Macaca mulatta: one gene and its partners. The protein of the gene in region 3 interacts with the protein of the main gene of each other region in a pairwise test. Links are inferred from orthologs where the notes say so. Each region holds a gene or a part of one and is shown on either strand. Other genes may lie near its edges. The genes, in order: ZNF488, CSN3, RBPMS, HEYL, TLE5, GCM2 and TFG.

Region 1 (4,180 bases), on a different chromosome or scaffold from region 3:
ACCCCCTTCACTCTGCACTTCACTCATTCTTCTCCTTCTTGCCACTCTGTGAAGAAGGACCTGTTTTGCTTCCCTTTCCACCACAATTGTAAGTTTCCCGAGGCCTCCACAGCCATGCTGAACTGTGAATCAATTAAACCTCTTTCCTTTATAAATTACCCAGTCTCAGGCAGTTCTTTATAGCAGTGTGAGAATGGATTAATACAGTCTAAAATATATCTTTCTTTATATGTTAAAAATTACAAGTGATGAAAAGCATTGAGTTGGTTGGTTGTCAGTTTTTCCCCCCTCTTTTGGAGTTGTATTTAGTATAATAGAATATCTTAAATTAGTGTTGTTTTATAATCAATGAAATTGGGTGTACTTCTATGCTGTACTAATATGGGTGTTACTATATGCTGGGGGCATATTAGGGTTCTCTTGCTTCATGCCTTCCGTGACACTTGTTATTGTTATATTTTAACACTTATACCTAATGATTAAACATCTCCTTGTGGTTTTAATTTGCATTTTCTAATTACTCTAGAGACTTCCTTCGTTCACATGATTTTGGTCGCTAATGGTTCCTCCGAAGTGCCTATTCATGTCTGTATCCATTCTTTGCTTTGGGTGTTCCTCTCCTTCATTAAAAGTACATATCCTGGATACTAATCTTTTATCAATTGCTGCAAGTATCTTCTTTCAGTGTGTGGCTTGCTTTTTCACTCCGTTTGTTGTTTTTTTAATCAAAGTATAAGTTCTTAATTTTAACGCACTTGAACTGTCATTTTCCACCACGGCCCGAGTCGCGGAGCCCGCCTTCCTGGCAGAGCGCTGCGTGGTCACAGCTGGGGTCTGGGGAGCAGAGGCTGCGGGCGCTCCCGGGGGTTGGCGGGGAGAGCTGGGCGATTTCGGCGGGGGGAGGTGCCGCTCGAGGGGCCGCCAGGCTGCGCGGGGAAGGAGGGCCTGGAGGCCGCGGGGGTCCTCGGCGCAGACTGGAGCCGCAGGCGCCGCGCGCAGCCCCCGTCCGCCTCGCCGAGGCCCCGCGGGCCCAGGAGCGCGAGGTCTGGCGCCCAGGACCAGAGGGGGTCGGCGGGAGCAGGCGCCGCCTCCAAAGGACGCCCTCGCCCTCCTGCAGGCGCTGGCTCCAGACCCTGACCAGCCAGCTGGGAGCTGAGCCGGGGTAGGGCCGGGCAGCCCAGAGGATCAGAAGGGGGTTTTCTCCCGGGGTTGGGGGTTCTTTGGCCAGCAGCGCCCTCCCCCGCCGGGGTCGCCCACCCACAAGCCCCGCCCCGAAGGCTGGAGCTTCCCTGGGGATGGGCGAAGCCGAGGCCACGCCCTGAAGGCGGGAGCGGGTTTGGGGCGGGACCTGGCCACCCTCAGGGCTCCAGCGCCAAGTTCAGAGCCACGCGCTGTGCTCTTGGCCGGGAGGAGGCTGTGCTGCCCCAGCACCTTTTGCTCCACATCTCCAGAGAGCCCAGGTGAGGCGCGCCCTCCTGTCTGCAGGGACAGAGCCGCGAGCGGGCGCGGGCGGCCGGGTCCATCTCACTTCCACTGCCTTTCCCCAGGACAGGGTTGTTGAGTCCTGCCTTTGACTGTGGGGTCCTTTCCTTCCCAATGTCGCCAGCTTCCTCTAGCTCTCTCATGTCGTCTCCGACTCTCATCCCCGTTTCTGTTCCCTTTCTCCTCTCTCACTTTTTCTCCTCTATCTCTTCTTTATTGTCTTCCTGTTTTCATTTCCTTCCGTGTCAGTCTCTCTCCCTCTCCCTCTTTTCCTCTCTTTCTTTATCCTTCTCCCTCACCTTCCCCCTCTCCCCGCTGTTTTTTCAGCACTCAAGAATTCTGCCTATGATTTTTTTTTTCCTCCTAGGGTGACTTTCAGGCTGCAGTTGTTTTCGTCCCTCCCTCTGCCCCTCCCGGGGTTTATCGTGTATTGCTCTGTTATTCTCAGCCCAGGCTTGCGCTGGGCAGTAGGGTAAGAACCATGCATCAGCCCCAGATCCCTTCTCCAACAGATTATATCCAAAGATCTGGACGTGTAACCTGTTCACTGCCTTTCCTGGGAAACAAAACAATGCTAAATGATCACATTATACTGAGTTTTTAGAATGAGCTGAAAGAACATACCTGGTTTTAGAGGCAAGGGGTTGATTGAATCCTTTCCTTGACATTTTGCCTTTACTAATAGACACAGACAGCACAGCAGGAAGCTAAGCCGTGCAGAAGCATTTAAGGGAAGTTCCCACCCACACCTGCCTTCTGGGCAGGTTATGCAATGCCAGGTGCAGGGGAGGGAGGGGACAGGATTCAGAGCAGGGTTGTGGGAAGACAGTGGGAGGCCAGAGCTTTGCACCTGAAACATCTGAGGGCCCCTGGAAATAAGAAATTAACAGTAAATTTCTAAAATATGTAGTTGCCAATGCCACTGATGTACAGAAATGAACTTACTTAATTACTCCTGAGGGAGACGTTAGGCATTTTATGGCAGTAATTATGGCATTTGAAATTAATGATTTTATGTACATTAAATAGGAGGGCCAAGGGGAAAATATTTCCTGTTAGTGTCAAAGATTGTCATAGATGCATAAAGGACGAACTCTAGAAAATCAAGCCTCATTCATTTTTGAGGGATAAAATAGAACTATATCGAGGCAATTTTTTGTTTCTTGGTTAAAATGTAATCTTATCAGAGATATGTGATTTAATTTTTAATGATATTTATGACACATAATATTTATATGTTCAAACACACACAAATACATAATATATATGCACTAAGTTATAAAAGAGCCTTTGTTTGTTTGTAAAGATCTTAATTACCAATAAAGCTTGAAGCTTTTGCTTCTTGGAAATAATTTAACATGATATTGTAGTTTATTATGACCTTTAATGAAAATTCAACTCATTTACTTTTGATTGATACAGAAATGGAAATTTGGCCATAGATAAATCACACAGAATTAAACAGAAATTAAGTATGATGAAGGTACATTGCAGTGTGTTCAGTGAAAGAATTTGCATGTGCTAGATATTTTGGACAAATTCATAGGTATGTGCGTGGAACTGTGATTTGTGAGGCTCTTTTCTGGTTTAAAAAGTTAAATTGCCTTTTATATCTAATCCCTGATCCCCAATATGTGAGGATTCTCGGGGGAGGGGTAAAAGACTTTGCAAATGATTTAGAATCATCATGTCTGCTTTGCTTGGCAGATTTCTTTTCGGGTATCCAAGAAGTGGCAACTTTTGTTTGAAATATGTAATCACACCAATTTTTTTTTTTTAAAAAGGATGAATTTCAATATTTTTAAACTGATCGTTCCTCATTAGTGGTCAGTGTCTCTGTAAGAACATCATTGTCTTTTTATCCTTAGATGATGCTATTGTTGGAACCTGGGAATGTCAAAAGGAGTAGCTGAGGTAAAATCATGGACTTTTTCCCAGAAGGCTGCCAGTGGAATTGGGACCACCGTCTCAGGCTCCACCTTTATTCTCTAGTTGTAGTAGGAAAAGAGCTGCTGTTCCTTGTGCTCTTGCTGCCTGGCATGTACAGAGCCCTGTTGAGTCCCGTCCGTGAGTGCCTGAAGTGAAGATCACTGTTCTTGTTTTACTTATGAAGAGATGGAGACCCAGAGTATTTGTCTGAGGTCAGGCAGGTAGTAGCAGGGCTGATTTGGAACACAAGTTGTGCCCTGGAGCCTGAGTGACCAGGGCTAATTCAGTCCCGTTATGTGACTTCCATGTTGCTGCAGCCCTGGCACATGTAACATCTAAAATATCACTCCACACAGCACCAGCCATTGCCTATTGGCATTGTTTGGCAGAACACTGCTCCCTGTTCTGTGTCCTGGCCATGCTCAGTCATATCCATGGTAGACTCTCCATCTGCACAGCAGGGCCCCATTGAAGCACTGGATTTGCCCTCTGCTTTCACTGGCCCTGCTTCTGCACAGTCTCAGGTATCTGAGTGGGTGATGAGATTGCATCCACCCCTATGAGGGTCCACATGGCCAAGTTATGTTGCACTAGGGCCACTCTCCCTGCTTCCATGGGTACTGGCTGTGTCCGCAGTCTCCTGCACTTAGCTTTCCTGGAATGCAGCAGGCATTGCTGCTAGAGGGGTCCAGGCATAGCTGGCCACAGAGCTTGTAGGGGCTGACCAGGAATTGCTCATCTCCCCAGTGCCACCAGTCAGCCTCTGGGA
Region 2 (4,275 bases), on a different chromosome or scaffold from region 3:
TGTCCAGTTTTGCAAAGCCCCACAAAAGCTACATTAGTGTTTGAAGTGAATGGATGATACCATGGTAAACATGTTTTTATCTTAGTGGGAGAAAAGATTATTAGCACTCTCAGGTGTTCTTAAAATATATTTTCCTGTGAAAACATGTCTTCAGAAGTGTTCTGAGTGTCTGCTACTTGTAAGTTAAATAATTCAATACTCAACTGAAAAATCATTAACACTCATGATTTTAAATCAATGGCTGAGAAATTACTATGTGAAATAGAACACCTTCAAAATTTAGGAATGACCAGATCATAGTCTTTCAACCATGGACCCTGAGAATCAAAGGAAAACACTGTGACTAAATAGTTCAGATAGAATGGCTGGTGTTATTACTTTAGCAACTTGGTTTAGCAATTTTAAATTCTGTCATCTCTTTTTGAACTGCAAAAACCAACTATTCTGAGAAACAGAAAATCTCATTTTACTCTGTGTAATCCAAATAAGTATTCTACGGTTTAGAATATTGTTCCTAACTTTCTAAGACATGCAACAGTTCTAAGAAACAGATAGGAACATAGACATAATTACAATGCTGATATTATTTCTTATTTGTGTTCTGGCAGTCTTACATTAATTCCTGTAAGTTCCTCAATCTGGTCAGTTCTTCACAGCCAAAATGAAGTCACAGTTAACATTATTTCTTGAGAAAAACAAGTAAAAGAAAATAATTCTTTCCTGAATTATCTAAACAAAATTTTTGTTTAGCTATTTTTTGCCAAAATATTCACAATGTCAGTGGGTTTGTGATGTATGCTCTAAGTCAAAATGACTTTCCTTAAAACAGAACAAATATCTCCAATTCAATAATTTAATAATGTTTTTTCAAAATGGTTCACCTATATTAATGAAATTTAAAATCTTAAAAATGTTTATTCATGAGAAAATAATAAATCACTAAGTATGTAGTCAATGCATATGGGAGAAAATGTGCTGCAGCTCAAATGCAAATAGTTCCCCACTTTACACCGATTAAAATGTTTCATATACGGGTTTTACCTTTATAAGGAGGTGCTCTTGGGTATGTGTGAGATGGCCAATTATTTAATTTTTAAAAATCAATAATTGTAATTCTGGAAGGAAGAAGACCAACCACAGTCTATACCAGATGCAGTATCACTTGAAATCCAGGTTCTTAAACTAAAAGAAACAATTAAAATGTGAAAGTATTGTGACTATTTTTCATTTCAACAGCAGTTTTAAGTTCAAATACATAGGATAAGTTGAATAAGAATACAATTAATATTTTTTAAAATTCTTCTATATTTCTTTATAAAACAAAAAAGATTGTTTAAAAAGATATGAATACTCTTTTTTCAAGCTTTATGAGTGATGACTTTACATCCTTCTCCGCATTTCATTAAAAAGGATTGACCCAAAGGTGACCCTGCTGTCATCAAATCTTTCCTTTCTGTCATCATCTTATTGGGTAAAAAGTAGGAGGGAAACAGAATAGCGTGACTCAAGGTACTAATATCCTTTCATTGGTCTGGTCTTCAGTTATTTATCTTGGGTCTTCTCTGCAGCTGACAAGCCAACTCAACCTACTGCCAACCAAGACCTGACTGGCACGAGGAAAGGTAATGCTGCTGAAACACCTGAGAAAAGAAAGTGATTATTTTCACAGTAGTTAGTTGGGACATCACCATAGTTATTTCAGAATCACATTTTCTTCCTTTTAGTTATTGTTAAGCTTGAATATGACCTAGCATCACTTTAAAATTAATTTCTAACCTAAACCTAAGTTCTGAATGGTGTTATGATCAAATTTATTTTTAACTTTAATCTGGGTTCCAGTCGAATTCTGACACCAGCTAAATCATAGTAGACATTGTGAATTCCGAACAAAAAAGGCGTTTAACATATTCCTACAGACAAACGTTGAGAGTTAATTCCTCAGGAAGTTGGACTCATGATAATAATCGCAATTGATCCCTTAATAACTTTCAAAATTTATTTCTATAAAAGTCATAATTTTATGTGTTATGGAATAATAATTTTTTTAAAACATGTCTTTCAAATACTCATGAAAGCTGTATAACTCTACCATTTCACAAACTATTTCTTCTTACCAAGTGATGAGGGCAAATGCAAATGTAGCTGATATGCAAAGTATGGTCTTATCTCTGTAATTTTTGTTTGTGCCAAAAACAAATTACTATCATTTTATAGAATATTTTCTTTTGTTTACATATCATTTTACTGTGTGAATTGATAAGGGGTCTGTGATTCATCATGAAAATATTTTCAGTCTATAATCCTAAAAGATCACTAGCAAGTGAAGCATTAATAAGGAGCTTCATCCCACTTAAAGAAATACGAGTTTTCTTAGATTGTTCAAATTGATTACAAATGAGTTCCATCGAATGGAAATTGGATGACATCGTATGGGCAGTTTTGAAGTCACTTCAGTAGACAGCCTTCCTAATCATTATTGCCTGAGAATCAGACGCTAATGGAGTACAATGTGCTTTCTATCCCCTATCTGAGACTTTAATTCTGTGAATCTTTTTTGTAAAGTTCAAGTTTGTGGTGATTTAAGTTTATATGAGTATATCAATAACAATAGCTGCAACAAGATGAAGTTAGTAATTACTTCCTAAACATAATATATACTTAAATATAAAAAGTTTGGGGTATCATATATTATTATTGTCTAAAAAGATGATTTATTAAAAATCAAATAAGAAGGTATGACACTGTATATACTCTTTTAGAAAAATAAGGTTAATTTATTTCTTTAAATATTTTAGTCAAAGCCACTGTATCATCTCTATATTTCCTATTAAAACACTCGAGTTAATCATATCGGTTATGATTATTAGAGAAGCATGTTATAAAGGAAACAGTTTCATAACCCTCCACTTCCCGTTCCATCCTACATACTTCTGTTGGATTGATCATGGAATTACAGAATTTTAGAAATCTCTAAGTTCAAACCCTAGTTTTACAGGTAAAAAAATGTAAAGCCCAGGAAACGGAAATCACTTGATCAAAGTTACAGAGGTAGAGAACTCTGGTCTAGAACTCAGTCCTCCAAAAAATGTATAGTCATACACTTTCTAGTCCGAAAACAATCAATTGTTTTCTGTTGTTTATAAAGCCATGCCTAGCTTTTTCACCCATCATTAACTTAAAGGTGTTTACTTTTTCTGCTCTAAACTTTCCTTCCAATCTTGTATTTCTCTTCTCATACAAGATTCCAATCAAATGTTCATGGTGATTCTCAAGACTTTCTCCTCTACTTGAAATACTTCTCTCCCTATTAAACCCTGCATAGGCAAGCCTCGCCTGTATGTCATTTTCCCACACAAAGACTGCTGCTTCTCTTAACTGAAACTTTTTTTAGTAGAAAACCACTTTTGTGGCATTTTCTACTTTTTTCCCTCTTACAGTTATTCGTGTATATTTCAACACTCTTCCTAAAATTGATGCTACTCATTGCATCATATTTACCTTGATAATCTTAACATTTGACATAGTAATGATAATTTTATAATTCCATTAATGCTGTCAAAAATTAAATTCAGAAATTTTTTTACTCCAAGTTTGAGTTTTTACATTCTTTTGTTAAAATAAATTTTTCCACATTGGCTAAATCTACTTGTAAATCTGGCTTTTTTTCTTAATCAAAGCAAACATTGTATTCAAGTCACTCCTAAAATTCTAGTAACAAATTATTCTAAATTAATTTTTTAAATGTATCTTTAGGTGCAATAATGAAGAGTTTTCTTCTAGTTGTGAATGTCCTGGCATTAACCCTGCCTTTTTTGGTAAGTTAATTTCATCTAACCAGTTTGTACTGACTTTAAGAAATTTTTATTTAAGGGCTCTAACTATTCAAATTTCTTAATACAGTTATACCTCATAGACCAAAATATCTACAAACTTGTTATATTTAAGGTTAATTTTTTAAATATTATTTCTATTATAAAATCAAAGTCATGTTCTTTTGGATATCCATTTAGTTCTGTGAATTAAGAAATCATAGTTAATCATATATAGGAAACTTTTAAAATTCTCATACTATAGAGAAAATACATTCTGTGGGGAAAACAATACTGAAAACATTTTAAAATTATAAATGCATTAAAGATAATTCAGAAAGAATAACTACAGAAATCATAGTCCGGGAATCAGAAATTATTTTAATTAAGTTCGTATCTCACCCAGACTCCAATGTCTTTATGGAAACAAAATCCTTCAAAGGTCAACTTTGGTTAAGCTTTTTCA
Region 3 (3,500 bases):
TCAATCGGGCCAACTGCAGCCTGACCTGGGTGGAATTGGAGCTGCCTGAGGAACACTTAGACCAGGCGCTTGGCAACATGACTCACTTTTTCCCCCTAAAAGTTAGTCTGTAAAGAGCAACTGGAAATGTTTACATCTTTGTGGAGTGTAATTTTAATCAGGATTCTCAAGGTTTTTCACCTCAATTCTCTGAATTTTTAAGATCTTAAATGCCCTGTGGTCACAGTATTTGGCCCTGTACTTCTGGGGGCTACATGGAAAATGCTTGATGATCATGACTGACTTGTCAATAGTAATTATGCCAATAAACAGAAAAGCCTTCCAGTTCTGGTCTGTTGAGGCCCTGCCGTTAGGCCATTGTTTTCCCAAAGGCTCTGCGGTGGGTTCTCATGGGATATCTTTCATTGGTTCTTTCTCTCCCTTTTCCTCAGAGGGCCACATTTTCTGTTTTGTGCAGGAAATTCCCACTGTTTTGGGTTCCCCAGCTACAGTTGGAAAGACATCAGAGTGTTCAAGGCGGAGTCCAGGCCTGAGATCTCAGCAGGCCAGACAGACAGCAGATGCTTGTTACTTTTCTTGTTATATTTTTCGTTCCTTGCTTAGCACTTATGGGACCAAAGCCAACAAACAACAGGTTGTGAAAAGAATGAGAGTCATTTGGCTTCTGACATTGATTGGGGCTCGGGGTTTTTGGGTGTTTTGTTTTCTGATTTGAAACTAGCTGTTTGGTAACCACTAACTCTCGCCTTATTCTTTTCTTGCAGATGAGCTCACAGTGCCTGCACTTTACCCCAGTAGCCCTGAAGTGTGGGCCCCGTACCCTCTGTACCCAGCGGAGTTAGCGCCTGCTCTACCTCCTCCTGCTTTCACCTATCCCGCTTCACTGCATGCCCAGGTAATTGATACCCATCGGCCACGACTTCACTCACTCCACCTCCAGTCCTTTCAAACTTGGTTCCCCAGAGCACACCATACAACTAACACCTATCCAGCTAACAGATCCACCTTCAAGAGATTAATGATCCCCTCTAAATCAAGCTGACACTCCTTCAGGACTTACGAGGATCGTCTGACAGCAATGATATCACCCACTGCCTGATGTTTGCCCCAAATGACACCTCTCTCTTCCTTAATGATCTCACCTCATATCGCACATGAGAGACTGGGGCAAGTTTATCCACTTGGCTCCCAGCTAGCTAGAGGGCATCACCGGAGCGTACACGTGTGTGCCTTGTGTGGAAGGGCTACAGAGGAAGGTGTGTGCTGGGAGCAGGGGATATGTGCGTCTGTGCGTGTTTCTGTGTGTTGAGAGTTTTCCACTCTCGTGTACTGTGAGAAGAATCTCTGACCAAAGGGAAAGCTTCCATGGGCGAAGGCTATACTTTCTTAAATATGTTACAGGAAAGATTAAGGGTTCCTTTTCTCCATTTTCAGGAAACCCTGTAGAAAAGGAGGTACAGGATAGTGTCTAAGATGGAATTACAGGTCAAGGTAGAGATCTCTATTCTGACCAGCTTGCTTTCTTAGTTAAAAATAGCCTGATTTTTATAAACAAACTTCCTGTTTCTCCACAAAGGTTACTATCTACATACTAACACTTCCTCTCCCCTTGGAGAAAATATTCTCTTAGCTGTGCTTTTAGCGCAAGTAGTAGTAATCAGTGTAAAGATTCACCTTTGGAGATCACTCATTCTTTGGCCTGCAAAGATTGATGACCAGTAACAAATAGAAAGTACGTATGTAGGTTTCATTTATCTTTCTGCATGTGTAATTCAGCCTTTAAATTTTAGATTTTCAAAAATGATTAGGCTGGACAGGCAGAGTTTTCATTTGCTTGTTTTGCTCAGTGTTTGTTTTCAAGGCTGGATGAAATAAACAGCTTCCCAGAAAACTTCCTTCTGACTTAAAACTCTTTTATGTTGTACAGAATTCACTGTCTTGATAAAGACCACCTAGAAGCAGCCCTCGGTGAGGGTTCTCGAAAGTCATGGGGTCAAGATTGTTGTTGGCTGAACATCTTTTAATTCTTTTCGCTGAGTTACCAACACATTGTGCGTGCATTGACGACCCGGCTTCCTGGGCTGCCTTTGGTGCCTGAGCCCCAGTAATGATTGCCCTCTGTGTTGGGAGAAGAAGGGAGAAAGTAGTACAAGTAGTGAAGAAAAAAATGTAGGTGGTGGTGGTGGTGAGAGTACATGGCACAGAAAATAAAGGAGCCAGGATTACTTGTGCCTTTGGCTTCTCCTTCCCCTGCTGCTTTTTCTTCCTTTTTCCATGTCAATGCTTGAGAACCCTCACAACTGGCAGGTAACGGGGTGAGGGGATAAAATGTAAACCTGTGGGTTTCTCTGCTGAGTCATTAGGATCTTTGTAGCAGGCTGCGGATAAATGTGTGGATGACATGGGACAACTAAGAGCCCCTTTTGCTTGCCACCTCCCACCCCTGCTCTGGATGGTGTCTCCTCTTGCTAGACTGCCGGGTACAGATCACGTGGCAGTTAAGGCAAATGTTAATAAATACCGTGAAACAGTGGTTTGCATAGTCTTCTGAATAGCCATATCAAGAGTTGACAACGGCCAGAAAGTACTGGGAATGGTGGCTTTTGGATATGACATCTGCCCATTCTTCATTCATGTAATGGGTAAAATCAGAAGTAATTCTGGAGATACGGTATGGTAAGAGAAGGGCCTAAAGAGTCTCAAGAGATTAGAAAGCACATGCCATTGTAAGGAAGGATGGGGAGAGACAGTGCCAAGATTAGATGGACTCAGCCATTTGACTTAATGGGTTGTATTGCCCATGGTGGCACCCTCCCCTGGGAGTTCTTGATCTTGAGACTTTCCCAAACTGGAATCCACTTAGCTCTGCCACATCGGTCCCAGATTTGGTGGGACTCTCATCTGATACCAGTTTTCAACGCCACTTCTTGTTTGGAGTCATTCCCAGTGCAGGCATGGACTCTGTGAACACATTCCGTTATTTAAATTTATTTGTGCAGTATGAGAATCAGAATGAGCTAGTAGAGGCTCTACAGATCAGCTGGTCTGACCCATTTGACAGATGAGGAAACAGGCCTGAGAAGATGGAGGGAGCTGCCCACAATCTGTGGCTCTGCCATGACTAGACCCAGGTCACCTGCCTCCCAGGCCTGACTCTTTCCACTCCGAGGTGTTGGCTCACCACAGACTTATTCTTTAATGGAATTTTGGAAAGGCCTCACTCCAGTGACTCCTTGGATCTTTCTTCTCTAAGTAGATGGGAAGCCTGTAAGAAGAGACTTGGAGGCAAAGCAAAGGGAATCAGCACTTAACCTTCACCCAAAGGGCCCAAGAGAATCTTTATTAACTGGAGGTAGAGCAGACTGGAGCCTTTACGGGGCATCTCCCCATATTGGATAATTCAGTTTTTGTTTTGGAAATCTTATAATGTCTTTGGAGAGGCTTTAAATAATTTTGTTTTTCTTAGCAATGTTATGCTCTATTTTGAGACATGGATTTTT
Region 4 (2,679 bases), on a different chromosome or scaffold from region 3:
CAAATCTCAGGATTGTAGCAGGACACAAATTAACTCATTTTGTTATTTTAAGCCCATCAGTTACAACAAAGTAATGGAACAGTGGCTTTAAAGACACTCCCAGGCCGGGCATGGTGGCTCATGCTTGTAATCCCAGCACTTTGGGAGGCCAAGGCAGGCGGATCATGAGGTCAGGAGATCGAGACCATCCTGACTAACATGGTGAAACCCCGTCTCTACTAAAAATACAAAAAATTAGCTGGGCGTGGTGGCGGGCGCCTGTAGTCCCAGCTACTCGTGAGGCTGAGGCAGGAGAATGGCGTGAACCCGGGAGGCGGAGCTTGCAGTGAGCCGAGATCCGGCCACTGCACTCCAGCCTGGGGGACAGAGCAAGACTCCATCTCAAAAAAAATTTTTAAAAGGCCGGGCATGGTGGCTCACGCCTGTAATCCCAGCACTTTGGGAGGCCAGGGCGGGCAGATTAGGAGGTTAGGAGATCGAGGCCATCCTGGCTAACACGGTGAAACCCCATCTCTACTAAAAAATACAAAAAATTAACCAGGCATAGTGGCGGGCACCCGTAGTCCCAGCTACTCGTGAGGCTGAGGCAGGAGAATGGCGTGAACCCAAGAGGCGGAGCTTGCAGTGAGCCAAGATCGTGCCACTGAACTCCAGCCTGGGCAACAGCAAGACTCTGTCTCAAAAAAATAAAAAATAAATAAATAATAAAACTAAAAAAAGAACAGCAAACACAGAAAGGTGAGGGATTTGCTTGAACTTACATGGCTAAGTGTAGAGTAGAGTTGGTTCTTGCCCACAAGTTGACCTGGCTCCAAACATAGTCTCCAGCTGAGCTGTTCCTCTGTGGGGGCCATGAACCAAGGACCAGATATTTGCTGCCATCGTCATGAGACCAGTGCTGACTGGGGTTGTTCTGTCTTTGCCCAGAAGGTGGTCAAGAGAGGAACAGGTATGGAGAGGCAGTGAGGATGTGAATACTTGTGCAGGAAGTTTACGTGGTTATCCATCAAAGAGAGGGTCCCTGGCCGAGCAGCTGAGGGTCACAGTGGGGTCTTGATTTCCAGATTGCCTTTTGAGCCAAGGGACAAACTCAGATGCCAACAGGGTCAAGCCAGTAATATAAGTGATAGCTAATTTTTCATTTATTCAGCATTTTCTGTGCACTATTTTAATTTCACCCTCACAACTCTATACAGTAGGCACTGCTATATCCCCATTTTACAGCTAAGGAAATTGAGGCACAGAGAGATAGAGACTTGTCCACAATGAGGCAGCTAGTTAAGTAGCTGACCCAGGATTTGAACCCAGCTCTCCTGGCCTCTGACGACCTCACACTTCACTGCTACACTATGCTGCCTTCTCCAAGGGGCCTCCTCACTCTGATGGCTGCTGCTGCCACCTCCCTTCCTGGGCATCTGCCCCTCTCAGCAGGCAGGGTTGTTCTATACCTTCAAGTGCACAACCTTTCATATCTGTCAAGTATTTACTTCAATGAAGTTATCTTGGCCACAAAGTTTTTTCTTTGCATTAATCATGAATTGTGATGCAAGCAATATTTTACATTTTATAATGCTTCATAGTTTAGTGAATTCATTTGATCATTATAACCCTCCACCCTCCACCCCAGGCAGGGATTTTTGTTCTCACTCTGCAGATGGGGAGACCGGCTTAGAGAGTCAGGGTGACATGGCCAAGGCTGCCCAGGGAGTGAGTGGAGGAGGCAGGTCCAGAACTCAGACAGACAGACGGAGGCCCCTTGCTTCTCCCCACACCTGGCATGACCTTCATCACGCCTCCCTTTGCAGGATTCTTTGATGCCCGAGCCCTGGCAGTTGACTTCCGGAGCATTGGTTTTCGGGAGTGCCTCACCGAGGTCATCAGGTACCTGGGGGTCCTTGAAGGGCCCAGCAGCCGTGCAGACCCCGTTCGGATTCGCCTTCTCTCCCACCTCAACAGCTACGCAGCCGAGATGGAGCCTTCGCCCACACACGCTGGCCCCCTGGCCTTCGCTGCCTGGCCCTGGTCTTTCTTCCATAGCTGCCCGGGGCTGCCAGCCCTGAGCAACCAGCTCGCCGTCCTGGGAAGAGTGCCCGGCCCTGTCCTGCCCAACACCTCCTCTCCTGCTTACCCCATCCCAGCCCTCCGAACCGCTCCCATTCGCAGAGCCACAGGCATCATCCTGCCAGCCCGGAGGAATGTGCTGCCCAGTCGAGGGGCATCTTCCACCCGGAGGGCCCGCCCCCTAGAGAGGCCAGCGACCCCTGTGCCTGTAGCCCCCAGCAGCAGGGCTGCCAGGAACAGCCACATCACTCCCCTCCTGCGATCTTCCTCCCCCACACCCCCTGGTCCTATAGGGTCCGCTGCTTATGTGGCTGTTCCCGCCCCCAACTCATCCTCCCCAGGGCCAGCTGGGAGGCCAGGGGGAGCCATGCTGTACCACTCCTGGGTCTCTGAAATCACTGAAATCGGGGCTTTCTGAGCTGCCCCTTCATCACCCTGCCCCAGGAATAAGGAAGGTTCTTTTACCAGGAGCCCAAAAAAGGGCACTGCCTTTTCTGCTTTGCTTCCTGGACTGGCTCATATGTGAAGGCACATTCTCCAGCCATCAGAGGCCCCCTCCTCCTCCAGCCCATCTCTCCTCCTCGCTGTTATCCAAGCTTATCCACCCAGCTCTCCTGG
Region 5 (4,127 bases), on a different chromosome or scaffold from region 3:
TTTGTATTTTTAGTAGAGACGGGGTTTCACCGTGGTCTCGATCTCCTGACCTTGTGATCCGCCCGCCTCGGCCTCCCAAAGTGCTGGGATTACAGGCGTGAGCCACCGCGCCCGGCGGAACAGCCTTATTTCAATGGCCTCTTTGGGGCCTGTTCTCTGAATGGCAGAAAGAGGGATACTTTCATAACCGCCACCAGGTCCCATTCCTCCTCTTCCCACGGCTCTCCAGGATTCCCACCTCACTCAGAGCAAAAGCACAAGTCTAAAGCCAGGTGCGGTGGCTCACACCTGTAATCCCTGCACTCTGGGAGGTAGAGGCGGGAGGATCACCCAACGTCAGGATTTCAAGATCAGCCTGGCCAATATAGTGAAACCCATCTCTACTAAACATACAAAAATTAGCCAGGCATGGTGGTACGCACCTGTAATCCCAGCTACACGAGAGGTTGAGGCAGGAGAATCGCTTGAACCCGGGAGGCGGAGGTTGCAGTGAGGCAAGATCACGTCACTGCATTCCAGCCTGGGCAACAGAGTGAGACTCCATCTCAAAAACAAACAGCTGGGCAAGGTGGCTCACGCCTGTAATCCCAGCACTTTGGGAGGCCGAGGCAGGTGGATCACCTGAGGTCGGGAGTTCAAGACCAGCCTGACCGACATGGAGAACTCTCGTCTCTACTAAAAATACAAAATTAGCCGGGCGTGGTAGCACGTGCCTGTAATCCCAGCTACTCGGGAGGCTGAGGCAGGAGAATCACTTGAACACGGGAGGCAGAGGATGTAGCGAGCTGGGATCGTGCCATTGCATTCCAGCCTGGGCAACAAGAGTGAAACTCCGTCTCAAAAGCAAACAAAAAACAAACCACCAGGTCCCATCCCTCCTCCTCCCACAGCCTTCCAGGGCTCCCACTTCACTCACCCAAAAACCCAAGTCCTCCCCATGGCCCACAAGTCCTTGCTGGACTGGCCTGCTTCACCAGCTACAGAGTTAGCAGGGCCCAGTGCAAAAGAAAACTGAAAGGCCCCTTGTTCAAAAATGATTAGGAATCTCAAAATGCAACACTAAATATTAACCCAAGCACAAGCCCTGCTGAGGAGGGGGGGGGGCCCGGGCAAATGCATGAAGCCCCAGGCCCTGCCTCCCTCCGGCCTTCCTGACCTCCGCCCTGGCACCCTGATGCCAGGCACAGTCCTGCCCCAGGGCCTTTACACCTGCTGGTCCTGCCTCTGAGTACCTCTGTACCCCATCCCCCTGTTCTCTCTCCTTCTTTGGGTCGTTTTAGGGGCGGAGGAAGCTCTCTCTGATCCTCCCTGCCACCTGTTTAACTTTGCATCTTCCTACCCTGCCATCCTCCCGGCTGGTTTTTCTGCAGAACGGTCCCCACCATCTGACCTGCTGGGAATTCAGCTTGTTAATTTGTCTCTGTCTGTCTCCAGGCACCACCACCAGAGCAGGGACCCCCCACCCCCGCCCCCACCACAGGGCCCTGGAGCAGCAGGCCCTGGCACACAGTAGGCGTTCTATAAATGTGTCGCAAGAATGGCTTCCCTGAGAAAGGCGGCATTACCGCTGCCTTTCTGCAGAAAAGGAAACTGAGGCTCAGCGAGAACCACCGCCCAGCCAGAGCCAAGGTCACAGAGCACGTCCGTGGCACGCGTCCAGGTCGTGCCACGGCAGGGCTGGCGGCTTCGACGCGGGCAGCCGGGTCCCTTTTCTTTGACAGATGGGGAAACCGAGGCCCGGCCTGCTGCCGGGTTGGGGGGGGTGGCGGGGGCCGCGGCCCGGGGCGGGGGCGGGCCGGGCCCAAGGTCACCGCGGCGGGCGGGCCCTGGGGAGGCGGGCCGGGGTGGGGATCCGCAGGCCTCCCCGGGCGCGCGCCTCCCCCCCCTCGGCGGCGCGCACGGGGCACGGGCGGCGGCGGCAGGTGGAGCCGGAGCCTCAGCATCAGCCGAGCCGCGGCCACTGCCGGCGTCGCCGCCATTAGACAATAGCGGTGGGGCCGGGGAGCGGGGAGGCGGGCGGCGGGGAGGGGCGGGGAGGGGCGCCGGGCGCGCAGGAAGCGGGGCCCGGGGCGCGCCGGGGCCGGGCGCGCGGGGAGGGGGCGCAGGAAGCGGGCGAGGCCGGGCGCGGGAGGCGGCGGCGGCCCCGGGAGCTGCCGATCGGCGCCGGGACAAAGGCGCGGCCGCCCGGCGCCCCCAGCAGCCCGAGCCGGGGCGCACAGCCGGGGCGCAGCCCGCGCCCCCTGCCGCGACTGACATGATGTTTCCACAAAGCAGGCATTCGGTAAGCGGGGTCCGTCCGGCAGGCGCCCCCACCCCGGATCCCGGCCCTGCGCTCCCCACCCCCGGCTCCCGGCCCCGCGCCCCCCACCCCCAGGCCCGGTGCCTCCGGCCCGGCACCCCCCCCAACTCCCCGGCCCTGTCTTCCCTCTCCAGCTCCAAGCCCGGCGCGACCCCCCTCCTGCCGCCGGCCCCCGGACACCCCCCAGTTCCCGATCCACCCCAGCTTCCGGGCCCCGAGCCCCCCCGTCCCAGCTCCCGGCTTGGCGCCCCCCCCCTCGCCGGGACAGGCAGGGCCTCGGACGGCCTTGGCCTCGGGCCTGGGGCGCTCCGGGAGCCCCGCCAGGCACCTCTAGCGCGGGGATCCTTTGGGGGCCTGTGGTGGGGGGGCGATCCGAGGCGCACCCCTCCCGGAAGAGCGCGTCCCCGAGGAAGGGCGCTGGGAATCTGGGGTGGGCCCCCCGGGAAGATTTCGGGCGCCGAGAGACCCCTCCCCCAAGAGGGCTTTGCTGGGAGGACTCGCTGCCCCCCAACTTGGGGAGGGGGCTCCCTAGGGTGCGTATCCACCCCCCTCGGATGTGCACTCCCTCCCGGCGCTTTGGAGGGGCGGTAGAGGGCGCACCCTGCCCCCCATCTAGGGCAGGCCTTAAAACGCACCCCCACTGCTTGGAGGTGGCGGGGGTCGGGGCGGCTCCGGGCGCACCCACCCCCTCGGCTTCCCCCGGGAGAGGCGGGGGGCAGGAAGCGCGGGTGGGGGCCGCGCCAGGGGCCGTAAACACGGGCCCAGGAAGTGGGGCAGGAGGGGGGGCGCCGCAGCTGCGCGGCCGCTCCCTCCCGGCTGGCCCTCGAGGGGGGTCCAGCCCAAGCCAGGGCCTGACCCGGGCCGCCCCTTCCCCACAGGGCTCTTCGCACCTACCCCAGCAACTCAAATTCACCACCTCGGACTCCTGCGACCGCATCAAAGACGAATTTCAGCTACTGCAAGCTCAGTATCACAGGTGAGCTGGGGGGCCGAGGGTCCCTGCGTCCCGAGAAGGTGAGCCCCCCACCCCATTTTTTCTGCGCAGATGGCAAGGCTGAGGCCTGGAGGGGAGATTGGGAAAATAATGTATGCTAGACTCTGACCTAATACTTGACAAATAGGGAATTCATTTTTTTTAAACAGCTGCATTCTGTGGAGGACAAAACTGAGGCACAAAATAAGTTAAATAATTTGCCCAAAGACCCAGCTGTGTGGCTTCAGAGCCCCTCCCTCCTACCCAATCCCCCCAAGTCCCCCCTTGGATAAAAGACAATTGGAGTTAGGGCACAGACTCGCCGTCCCCCCAACCCCCAAAACAAACATTTTGCAGCCTGGTCATCTCTCTTTGCCCAGTTTTGGAGAAAGGGTTCCCAGCATCAGTCAGATTCTCCCAGGTGCTTCTTTCAGAAATCTCCTGGCGTTTCTGAAGAGCTTGCCATGCTGTGGTATCTAAGGGGAAGGAACTATTTAGTCCTTTTACACTTAAAGAAATTTAATCCCAGGCCGGGTGCCACCGGTGGCTCACGCCTGTAACCCCAGCACTTTGGGAGGCTGAGGCGGGTGGATCACTTGAGGTCAGGAGTTCGAGACCAGCCTGGCCAACATGGCGAAACCCCGTCTCTACTAAAAATACAAAATTAGCCGGGTGTGGTGGCAGACGCCTGTAATCCCAGCTACTTGGGTGGCTGAGGCAGGAAACTTGCTTGAACCCGGGAGGCGGAGGTTGCAGTGAGCAGAGATCGAACCACCACACTCCAGCCTGGGTAACAGAGAGAGACTCGGTGTCCGAAAAAAAACAAAAAAAAATAAAGAAGAAGAAACTTAAGCC
Region 6 (4,225 bases), on a different chromosome or scaffold from region 3:
GCTGGAGTGCAATGGGGTGGTCTTGACTCACAGTAACCTCCGTCTCCCGGGTTCAAGCGATTCTCCCGCCTCAGCCTCCCGAGTAGCTGGGACTATAGGCATGCTCCACCACGCCCAGATAATTTTGCATTTTTAGTAGAGACGGGGTTTCTCCATGTTGGTCAGGCTGGTCTTGAACTCCCGATCTCAGGTGATCCGCCCGCCTCGACCTCCCAAAGTGCTGGGATTACAGGCGTGAGCCACCGCGCCCGGCCGAGAAGACACATTTCTAAACCCAATTCAGCCTTTTGTGGAGTCCAGTTCTCTTTCTACATTTGAGGGGGCCTCAGAAACCCAGAAATTTTGCGTGTGTGTGCGTGTGTGTGTGTGTGTGACCACGTCATGGTCCGTCCGCAGACTCTTCAAGAACTTGAATGCCATTCTCCCTCCCTCCTTCGGATAGACAGCGCCCCGCGTGCCCGCACACACCCGGTTCACTTACCTGAGGCATCTGTGGATCGTTGATGTCCCAGCTGAGCTGCATCCCGTATGAGCACACGCCGACCGTATCCTGCACCGCGGCTGCCGGCATCTGCCCAACTCGCTCGCGCTTTCCGCCCAGGGTTCTGAAAAATAGAAGAAAAAAGGAGAGGTGCGCCAGGTGATTTTTTTCCTACTCTTTAAAGAAGAAAGTGGGGTATGTGTGTGAAGGGGAGGGGCAGAGAGAAAGAGAGAGAGATTGTTTAGAAATCTGGAAGTTGGGGACAATGGTTATGGACCCGGGCGGGGCCCTGTCCTCGGCCGCGGTGCTGAACGGTCTCCACCCGAACGGTAGCATCGACGTCTGCAGCTGATCCCTCCTTTATAAAGATGCATCTCCGGGGGACTCCGCCCTGTTTCGCCTACCTCGCTAGCGCCCACGCTCCAGGGGCCGGCCACCACCTCCACCACAGACCCAGGAACGGAGGTGGAGGTTAAACTCAGCCCTGGAAGCAAAGGGAAACTGCAGCCAGGGGGTGGGGGTGGAGAGGGTAAGTTGGAATGTATCCTTTAAGTTTAAAACCTTATTATTTTCTTCTCTTTTCTTCTTTTTTGTCTCACTCCGTTGCCCAGGCTGGAGTGCAGTGGCGCCATCTCGGCTCACTGCAACCTCCGCCTCCCAGGTTCAAGCGATTCTCCTGCCTCAACCTCTCGAGTAGCTGGGATTACAGGTCCGTGCCACCACGCCTGGCTAATTTTTGTATTTTTAGTAGAGACAGGTTTTCGCCATGCGAAACCCTTACCAAGCTGGTCTTGAACTCCTGACCTCAGGTGATCCGCTCGCCTGGGCCTCCCAAAGTGCTGGGATTACAGGCATGAGCAACCGCACCCGGCCTATTTTTTTTTTTTTTTTTTTTTTTCTAAACGCATCCAGCTTCCCTGATTTCGGAAAGGGGCTTAGATGGAGGCTTTGGAAGCAGAGGCTTTCCAGCAAAGTCCCCTGAGAGTCAACACTCAATTCCAGTAGAGCATGGGAACCGTGCATGGGCCCCTCTGCCGTCCGCGCGCTCCCTACGCTGAATAACCGTGCCCATGCCTCCTAGTTACGGGTCAGCCCATTTTGGGCCTCCATTGCCGGCTCTTCCCCTAACTATTGTGCGTGTCTCGGAGTCTTCGCTCGGCTGTTTGGGATGTGTGAACGGGCGCCACGCCTCCGCGTATGCTCGCGAGCCCAGGCGCCTTCGCGCTCCCGGGGACTTCGGAGGGACCTGGCCCTGCAGGAACGGAGTCCTACAAAGTGAACCCGGAGGAGGTGGGGGGAAATGAGCCTGGGGTAGGTAGGAGCCTGGGGAAGGACGGAAAAGGGAGAGGGGTAAAGTCCCGAAGAACTCCTAGCTTTCTCCACTGCTTTGGCTCCCTCTGGGTCTCAGCTTCCTTATCTGTTAAATAAGGGGTTATGGTTCGGGTAGCTCTCAGTTGCCACCCACCTGAACAGAACTCTTTTTGAGACGGAGTCTCACTCTGTCGCCCAGGCTGGAGTGCAGTGGTGCAATCTCAGCTCACTGCAACCTCCGCCTCCCAGGTTCAAACGATTCTCCCGCCTCAACCTCCCGAGTAGCTGGGACTGCAGGCGCGCGCCACCGCGACCAGCTAGTTTTGTATATTTAGCAGAGACGGGTTTTCCCCAAGTTGGCCAGTATGGTCTCGATCTATTTACCTCGTGATCCGCCTGCCTCAGCCTGTCAGAGTGCTGGGATTACAGGCACCGCGCCCGGCTCACAACTCTTTTAAAACTCTTAAAAAACAACAACAACAACAACAACAACAAACAAACAAACAAACAAAACTTTCCTGATATAGTCGTGGAAATTTTACTCCATTACAGTCTTGGGAGGCTTTGGGGGATTAGAGAATCGCGGTGGTGCGGGGGTGCGCAGGACTATGTGGGTTTTCCGGGACTGGGACGAAACCTTCCTCATCTGAGCAGCCGTCTCGCCCAGGGCTACTATGGCACTTGGAGACCCTCAGTTAAAAAAAAAAATCGATTGAAGTGACTAAAGTCACTCTGACTACGCCAGGGCCGGATTCTGGGCGGCCAGGGAAAAGGGTTTCTGGAATTTATTCCCCGCGCCCTTGTTTTGCAGCTGCACGCTTCCATTCCCAGCCCTAGCCAGAGAAGAGGAGCCAACTCCTCACGGCGAATTCCCTTGATAGAGGAGGATGAACCGAACCCATGACCCTCCAGACCTGGGGAGCGACGCGCCCTAGACCTCGGCACCGCAAAGCCCGCGCTCGGCACACGGACGGGTGCTGCGCGGGACTCTGCCGGGAGGGCGCCCATGCCAACGCCTCTTGCAGGATTAGTGCCTTCGGTTGGCAAAAGGCGGATAAAGGAAGAGCGAAACAACCTCAGGAAGCTAAGGGTGGTCCACACTCCCTGTCCTTTTACTTCCCCAGCCAAAGGCACAGTGAAGCTTGCTTAGAAAAGTCGATCCCGCGGCTGGGCGCTGTGGCTCATGCCTGTAATCCCAGCACTTTGGGAGGCCGAGACGGGAGTATCGCTTGAGCCCAGGAGTGCAAGACCAGCCTGGGCAACATGGAGAAACCCTGTCTCTTCCAAAATAATAATAATAATAATTTTAAAAAGCTGGGCATGGTGGCGTGTGCCTGTAGTCCCAGCTACTAGGGAGGCTGAGGCGGGAGGATCGCTTGAATCCAGGAGGCAGTGGTTGTAGTGACCTGAGATAGCGCCGATGCACTCCCGCCTGGGCGACAGAACGAGGCCCTGTCTCAAAAAAAAGAAAAGTGAAAGAAAGAGAGAGAGAGAGAGAGAGAGAGAGAGAGGAGGGAGGGAGGCAGGGGGGAGGGAGGGAGGGAAGGAAGGAAGGAAGGAAGGAAGGAAGGAAGGAAGGAAGGAAAGAAGGAAGGAAAAAAGAAAAAAGAAAAAAAAAGAAAAGGAAAGAAAAGAAAAAAGAAGAAAAGAAAAGAAAAAGAAAAAGTATCCCGGTCTGTCACAGAAGCCGGCCAATAGCAGCGGACCAGCGAACTCTGTTGGGGAGAAAGGACAACTTTGAGCAGTTCCTCGCGATTTTTTCCTCCCTTATCTTCAAGCTTGGGTCCTCCTCCCAAGCAAAGCTGAAGGGTCCTAGCAGAAGAAAGTGATGTGTTCATTCCCAGCCTCCTTTCTCCCGAAGTTCTCCCCTCCTGAAAGGTCCAGTTAGTCGTCAGGGTTTCTGATTAAAATCACTCTCAAATGGTCGCCACTAAGGTCCAGTTGGGAACGAAGAGATGTGTCTACTCTTCACCCACCAGGTTCATTCACAGATTTTCATCTTATTAACTGACTGCCAAAGGTCCCCGAAACTCCTGTTGATTCAGTTGCTTTTCGTGTTGTTATGTCTTCCAAAATTGAATGAAAATTTATTGATCATCCATTTTAAAATATATTCTTTCATTAAATGTTGTAGTTTAAGATAACTTATCCTTTCAAATGTTCTAAAAATAACTTTAAAATGGTGACTTAAAGTTACCTCTGAGAATGCATAGAAATTAATTTTTGGTCTTATTGCAGTGCTAGAATAGTTCCTGTCTCTGTGCTTTCGGAATGTTCCTAGAGAGACCTGATCCGTCAAAATGTAAATAAATAAAACTTTTTTATGTTAAAAGCAAATCAATTAATTTCTAAAGGGATTCTGGTATCCAAAGAAATGTCATAGAGCCTCTACCATATTTACTTTGAGAAGAATTAAAATATGCATTTCAAGTT
Region 7 (3,500 bases), on a different chromosome or scaffold from region 3:
AGAGGGCAAAAAGAAACAGAAGATTAACAACAGCTTTTCCAAAAAAGTTATTTACCTCCTTTCATAAGAAATATTAGATGAAAAAAATACAAGCTCCTGGATAAAGAGAAACATTTTACTGTTTTGGTTTTTTTTTGGAGCCCAATGACCTATATCCTAGTATCAGATACCCACTGGGCACTCTGGAAATAACAATTATAGGAACTAAGGCTTTATTTTATAAAAAGAAACTTAACTAAAGTTATAATCTCAAATTTAACATTTCATTTTTACTGTCTAGTGGTCCACTACATGGAAATCAAGCCAACCATAATTAATTCATAATCTTCCATAAATAGCACATTAAAAACATTTTTGAATTTGCTACCTTCTATTTTAATATGTATTACTTATTAAAATACTTATTCAAATGCTTACAGATAAAATGATGTATATGGGATCTGCATCAAAATAATACAGGAGGGGAGCCGGGTGCGATAGCTCATGTCTGTAATCTCGGCGGGAGGCCAAGGTGGGTAGATCACTTGAGGCCAGGAGCTCAAGACCAGCCTAGCAAAACCCCATCTCTACCAAAAATACAAAAATTAGCCAGGCACAGTGATGCATGCCTGTAATCCCAGCTACTCAGGAGGCTGAGTCACAAGAATCACTTGAACCCAGGAGGAGAAGTTTGTAGTGAGCTGAGATCGTACCACTGCACTCCAGTCTGGGTAACAGGAGTGGTGAAAGTGTGTGTACCATAATTATATGATACCATAAGTTGGTAACTGTTGAAATTGTATGTGGGTTTATGGGATTCATTATAATGTCTACTTTCGTATATACTTAAACTTTTCTATAATAAAATGTTTAAAACAACAACAACAAAAAACAAAATGTTAAATATTATAAGCAGGTTAAATTTAAAATCATGCTTTTCTTCTAAGGATACTAAGATATTCCACAGGCATTTATACTACTGTCTTTCGAAAGAAAGAGTTCAAGAATAACCTACATTTTACAAATAGGAATCCAAGTCCAAGATACAAAAGACATCAAAACAAACAAACAAAACACACGAACAAGTAAACAAAAGGACTGTTGTTAATCATTTACTCAATTAAGGAACAATGATTATCACTTTTGTTACCAAGTAAGTAAATGAATATCTGTTCTTAGATCACCCCAGTAATCAATACAAAATGTATCTTCTGAAAAAAACTAAGTGCTAAAGGAATATAAATACCCACAGCACACACTGGCTGGCAGCTCATTCATTCCTAACATACCATTCCAGGCTACCCTAATATTTTCTAAGTTTTTGGAAAAGGAAAACCCCTAGAACTATTCCTTTAAAACACGTCTACCAGTTATCTACCTTCCCTACCAAGTTCCTTCCTCTAATCCCAAGAGCATACCACGTCACTCTTACCAATTGTTTCCCCTCACATCTCACTACCTATGCCTCTTTTCACTTATCACAAACTATAACGATCAGGAAACACACTATATGTCCTACTACTTGCTCCATTAACTGCTGGAGATACTGCCAACAGGTCAATCTTCTATCTAAGGTAGTTTACACACCATTTGCCTCTTGGAGGAAAACAAGCATCCAAGAACCACTGTAATAGAGAGCTGAAGACCACAGGCAGCCATGTTTCTTGGTGAGGGTAATCCACAGGTTCTGAATAGCACTGATAGCTGATTGGCAATTTCATTTTGTGGACTAGATTTCAGTTTCTGATGTAGGGCGCTTTTTTTTGTTTTTGTTTTTTAAAATTAGAACTATCTCTAAAAATAAAATGCAGATTGTATTATTCTTATATCATCTTATCATCAGATACGTCAGACAGGACACAATAACTAGAAGATGGCCATACAAGAAAACAACACATGGCATGACTTCCAAGATGCAGAGAAGAAACCAATTTTAACATCTTTTACGTTAACATAGGTAAAAAGCTAACAATAATATGTATAAAAATACAGAAACAAAGAATGAAGTATAAACAGTAGCTAGAAATAGGTGAGGAAAAAGTTTCACCTAAACCAACAAATTCATAAATCCATTCCTGAGAGTAGAATGTGGGCCACTGTAGCTAATTTCTGAACAGTACTGGCTATACTGGTTAAATTCTCATCTACATTTCTTAATATTTTGCAGATGGTTAAATCCCCTGAAATTATATGCAAATGTTGTGTCAGCATCTATGAATTCTTCTAGAAAAATTGTCCCATTATGTTCTGAAATAGAAGTGGAACTAGAAATCACCAATCACCAAATATTTATTAACTATCTATCATTAACATAATTCCACATGATTATTAGAAGACAGGAAGAGAGTAATGATGGAAAATACGTCTTTATTTAAACTGTAACTAAAATAAACACAGAAAACAAAAACTCCCAAATTATTTAATGGCCAAAAACAGAATACATGCCATTTATCCACAAAAATTATCTTGTGTTAAGCCCTTTACATGCAGTCATCCAGACCAGACTTTTTTTTAATTACTATTTCACAATATGGACAGTTCTAAACATATGAAAATTATAAGCAAACAAGTTGTAAAAAATAATGAGTTTTCTTTAAATGCAACATCTAAGAATCTTAAAAGAAGAAAGCAGTTTTTTAACTCTACTTTCAAGTCATAACACATACTTAAATTTCAGTCCACATTTTAAAATACATTTGGTCCCAAAATTATGTCAGTTCCAAATGTCGATACTTCTTGCTTTATCTTAACACAAATAGTACATGTCATCTATAAAATGGGGGAAAAAAAGTTTTTCTTTAAATATTATTAAAAATTGTGTTTCAACTTTACAATGTACCATTTTTAATGAATATTACTAATCTAAGTGATTTTTAGTTGAAACTACTTCCAACACTACGTAATATTCATGAAATGATTTTCAATTCCCAAGGTTCATTACTTACCTATTATACTAAAAAGGGTTCATGTGTCAAGAGGATTTGAAAACTGACCTGTGTAATAAATCCAAAAGTCTAAGACTAGTTGTGAACGAATCACCCAGAAAACACTTTAAAAATGGGATTTCCAGTTCCTAAACTCCAGTAGGTCTATGATGAGATCCAGGAATTGGTATAATGAAACCTCCTAGTAATCTTGATGAACAGCAAGGTTTAGGAACACAGACATAAATACTAGTAGAGAGGCAGAGGAACAAGAGTGACACTGGGGGTGCCATCCTTCTCCTACTTAAAAAGAGTTTTTACAAACCTCCAAAAAGACGTAAGAACAATAAATCAGAATACAATGGATTCAGGGTTTACCATTTTCAGGAATATTGGTGGAAGGTCCAGGTTCTCCAGGTGGTTCCAAGCTATCCAATAAACGATTCACTTTATTTCGAAGTTCTATCAGTTCTCGACGGAGATATTTCACCTGACTTGATTCAAGGGGTCTTGGCTGGCCATTAACTGAAATAAAAACATTTATTTGCTTAAAATTAGAAGTTCATGAATAAGTATACTAATAATATGCAACAAGGA

What was found.
Region 1: the proteins of RBPMS (region 3) and ZNF488 interact in binary tests that used the Homo sapiens proteins (3 or more experiments, as listed by UniProt). The two-hybrid records come from large-scale screens. The link is inferred for Macaca mulatta from reciprocal best matches to the Homo sapiens genes RBPMS and ZNF488.
Region 2: the proteins of RBPMS (region 3) and CSN3 interact in binary tests that used the Homo sapiens proteins (3 or more experiments, as listed by UniProt). The two-hybrid records come from large-scale screens. The link is inferred for Macaca mulatta from reciprocal best matches to the Homo sapiens genes RBPMS and CSN3.
Region 4: the proteins of RBPMS (region 3) and HEYL interact in binary tests that used the Homo sapiens proteins (3 or more experiments, as listed by UniProt). The two-hybrid records come from large-scale screens. The link is inferred for Macaca mulatta from reciprocal best matches to the Homo sapiens genes RBPMS and HEYL.
Region 5: the proteins of RBPMS (region 3) and TLE5 interact in binary tests that used the Homo sapiens proteins (3 or more experiments, as listed by UniProt). The two-hybrid records come from large-scale screens. The link is inferred for Macaca mulatta from reciprocal best matches to the Homo sapiens genes RBPMS and TLE5.
Region 6: the proteins of RBPMS (region 3) and GCM2 interact in binary tests that used the Homo sapiens proteins (3 or more experiments, as listed by UniProt). The link is inferred for Macaca mulatta from reciprocal best matches to the Homo sapiens genes RBPMS and GCM2.
Region 7: the proteins of RBPMS (region 3) and TFG interact in binary tests that used the Homo sapiens proteins (3 or more experiments, as listed by UniProt). The two-hybrid records come from large-scale screens. The link is inferred for Macaca mulatta from reciprocal best matches to the Homo sapiens genes RBPMS and TFG.

The regions. Positions count from the first base shown.
Region 1 is NC_133414.1:61,512,849-61,517,028, reverse strand, and holds the start of ZNF488 (zinc finger protein 488), read left to right. Parts: upstream 1-1,380; 5' UTR 1,381-1,460; intron 1,461-2,106; exon of another isoform or gene 2,107-2,183; intron 2,184-4,180. UniProt on the Homo sapiens protein: Transcriptional repressor. Plays a role in oligodendrocyte differentiation, together with OLIG2. Mediates Notch signaling-activated formation of oligodendrocyte precursors.
Region 2 is NC_133410.1:63,651,972-63,656,246, reverse strand, and holds the start of CSN3 (kappa-casein), read left to right. Parts: upstream 1-1,475; 5' UTR 1,476-1,622; intron 1,623-3,753; 5' UTR 3,754-3,761; coding exon 3,762-3,815; intron 3,816-4,275. UniProt on the Homo sapiens protein: Kappa-casein stabilizes micelle formation, preventing casein precipitation in milk.
Region 3 is NC_133413.1:32,321,015-32,324,514, forward strand, and holds part of RBPMS (RNA-binding protein with multiple splicing), read left to right. Parts: intron 1-764; coding exon 765-895; coding exon of another isoform or gene 896-1,042; exon of another isoform or gene 1,043-1,895; intron 1,896-3,500.
Region 4 is NC_133406.1:201,156,812-201,159,490, forward strand, and holds part of HEYL (hairy/enhancer-of-split related with YRPW motif-like protein), read left to right. Parts: intron 1-1,805; coding exon 1,806-2,479; 3' UTR 2,480-2,679. UniProt on the Homo sapiens protein: Downstream effector of Notch signaling which may be required for cardiovascular development. Transcriptional repressor which binds preferentially to the canonical E box sequence 5'-CACGTG-3'.
Region 5 is NC_133424.1:3,855,194-3,859,320, reverse strand, and holds the start of TLE5 (TLE family member 5), read left to right. Parts: upstream 1-1,327; 5' UTR 1,328-1,524; coding exon 1,525-1,752; intron 1,753-1,938; exon of another isoform or gene 1,939-2,254; coding exon of another isoform or gene 2,255-2,281; intron 2,282-2,525; exon of another isoform or gene 2,526-2,832; intron 2,833-3,177; coding exon 3,178-3,275; intron 3,276-4,127. UniProt on the Homo sapiens protein: Transcriptional corepressor. Acts as a dominant repressor towards other family members. Inhibits NF-kappa-B-regulated gene expression. May be required for the initiation and maintenance of the differentiated state.
Region 6 is NC_133409.1:172,240,460-172,244,684, reverse strand, and holds the start of GCM2 (chorion-specific transcription factor GCMb), read right to left. Parts: upstream 2,801-4,225; coding exon 2,656-2,800; intron 1,805-2,655; coding exon 1,567-1,804; intron 606-1,566; coding exon 482-605; intron 1-481. UniProt on the Homo sapiens protein: Transcription factor that binds specific sequences on gene promoters and activate their transcription. Through the regulation of gene transcription, may play a role in parathyroid gland development.
Region 7 is NC_133407.1:182,877,746-182,881,245, forward strand, and holds part of TFG (protein TFG), read right to left. Parts: intron 3,429-3,500; coding exon 3,282-3,428; intron 1-3,281. UniProt on the Homo sapiens protein: Plays a role in the normal dynamic function of the endoplasmic reticulum (ER) and its associated microtubules. Required for secretory cargo traffic from the endoplasmic reticulum to the Golgi apparatus.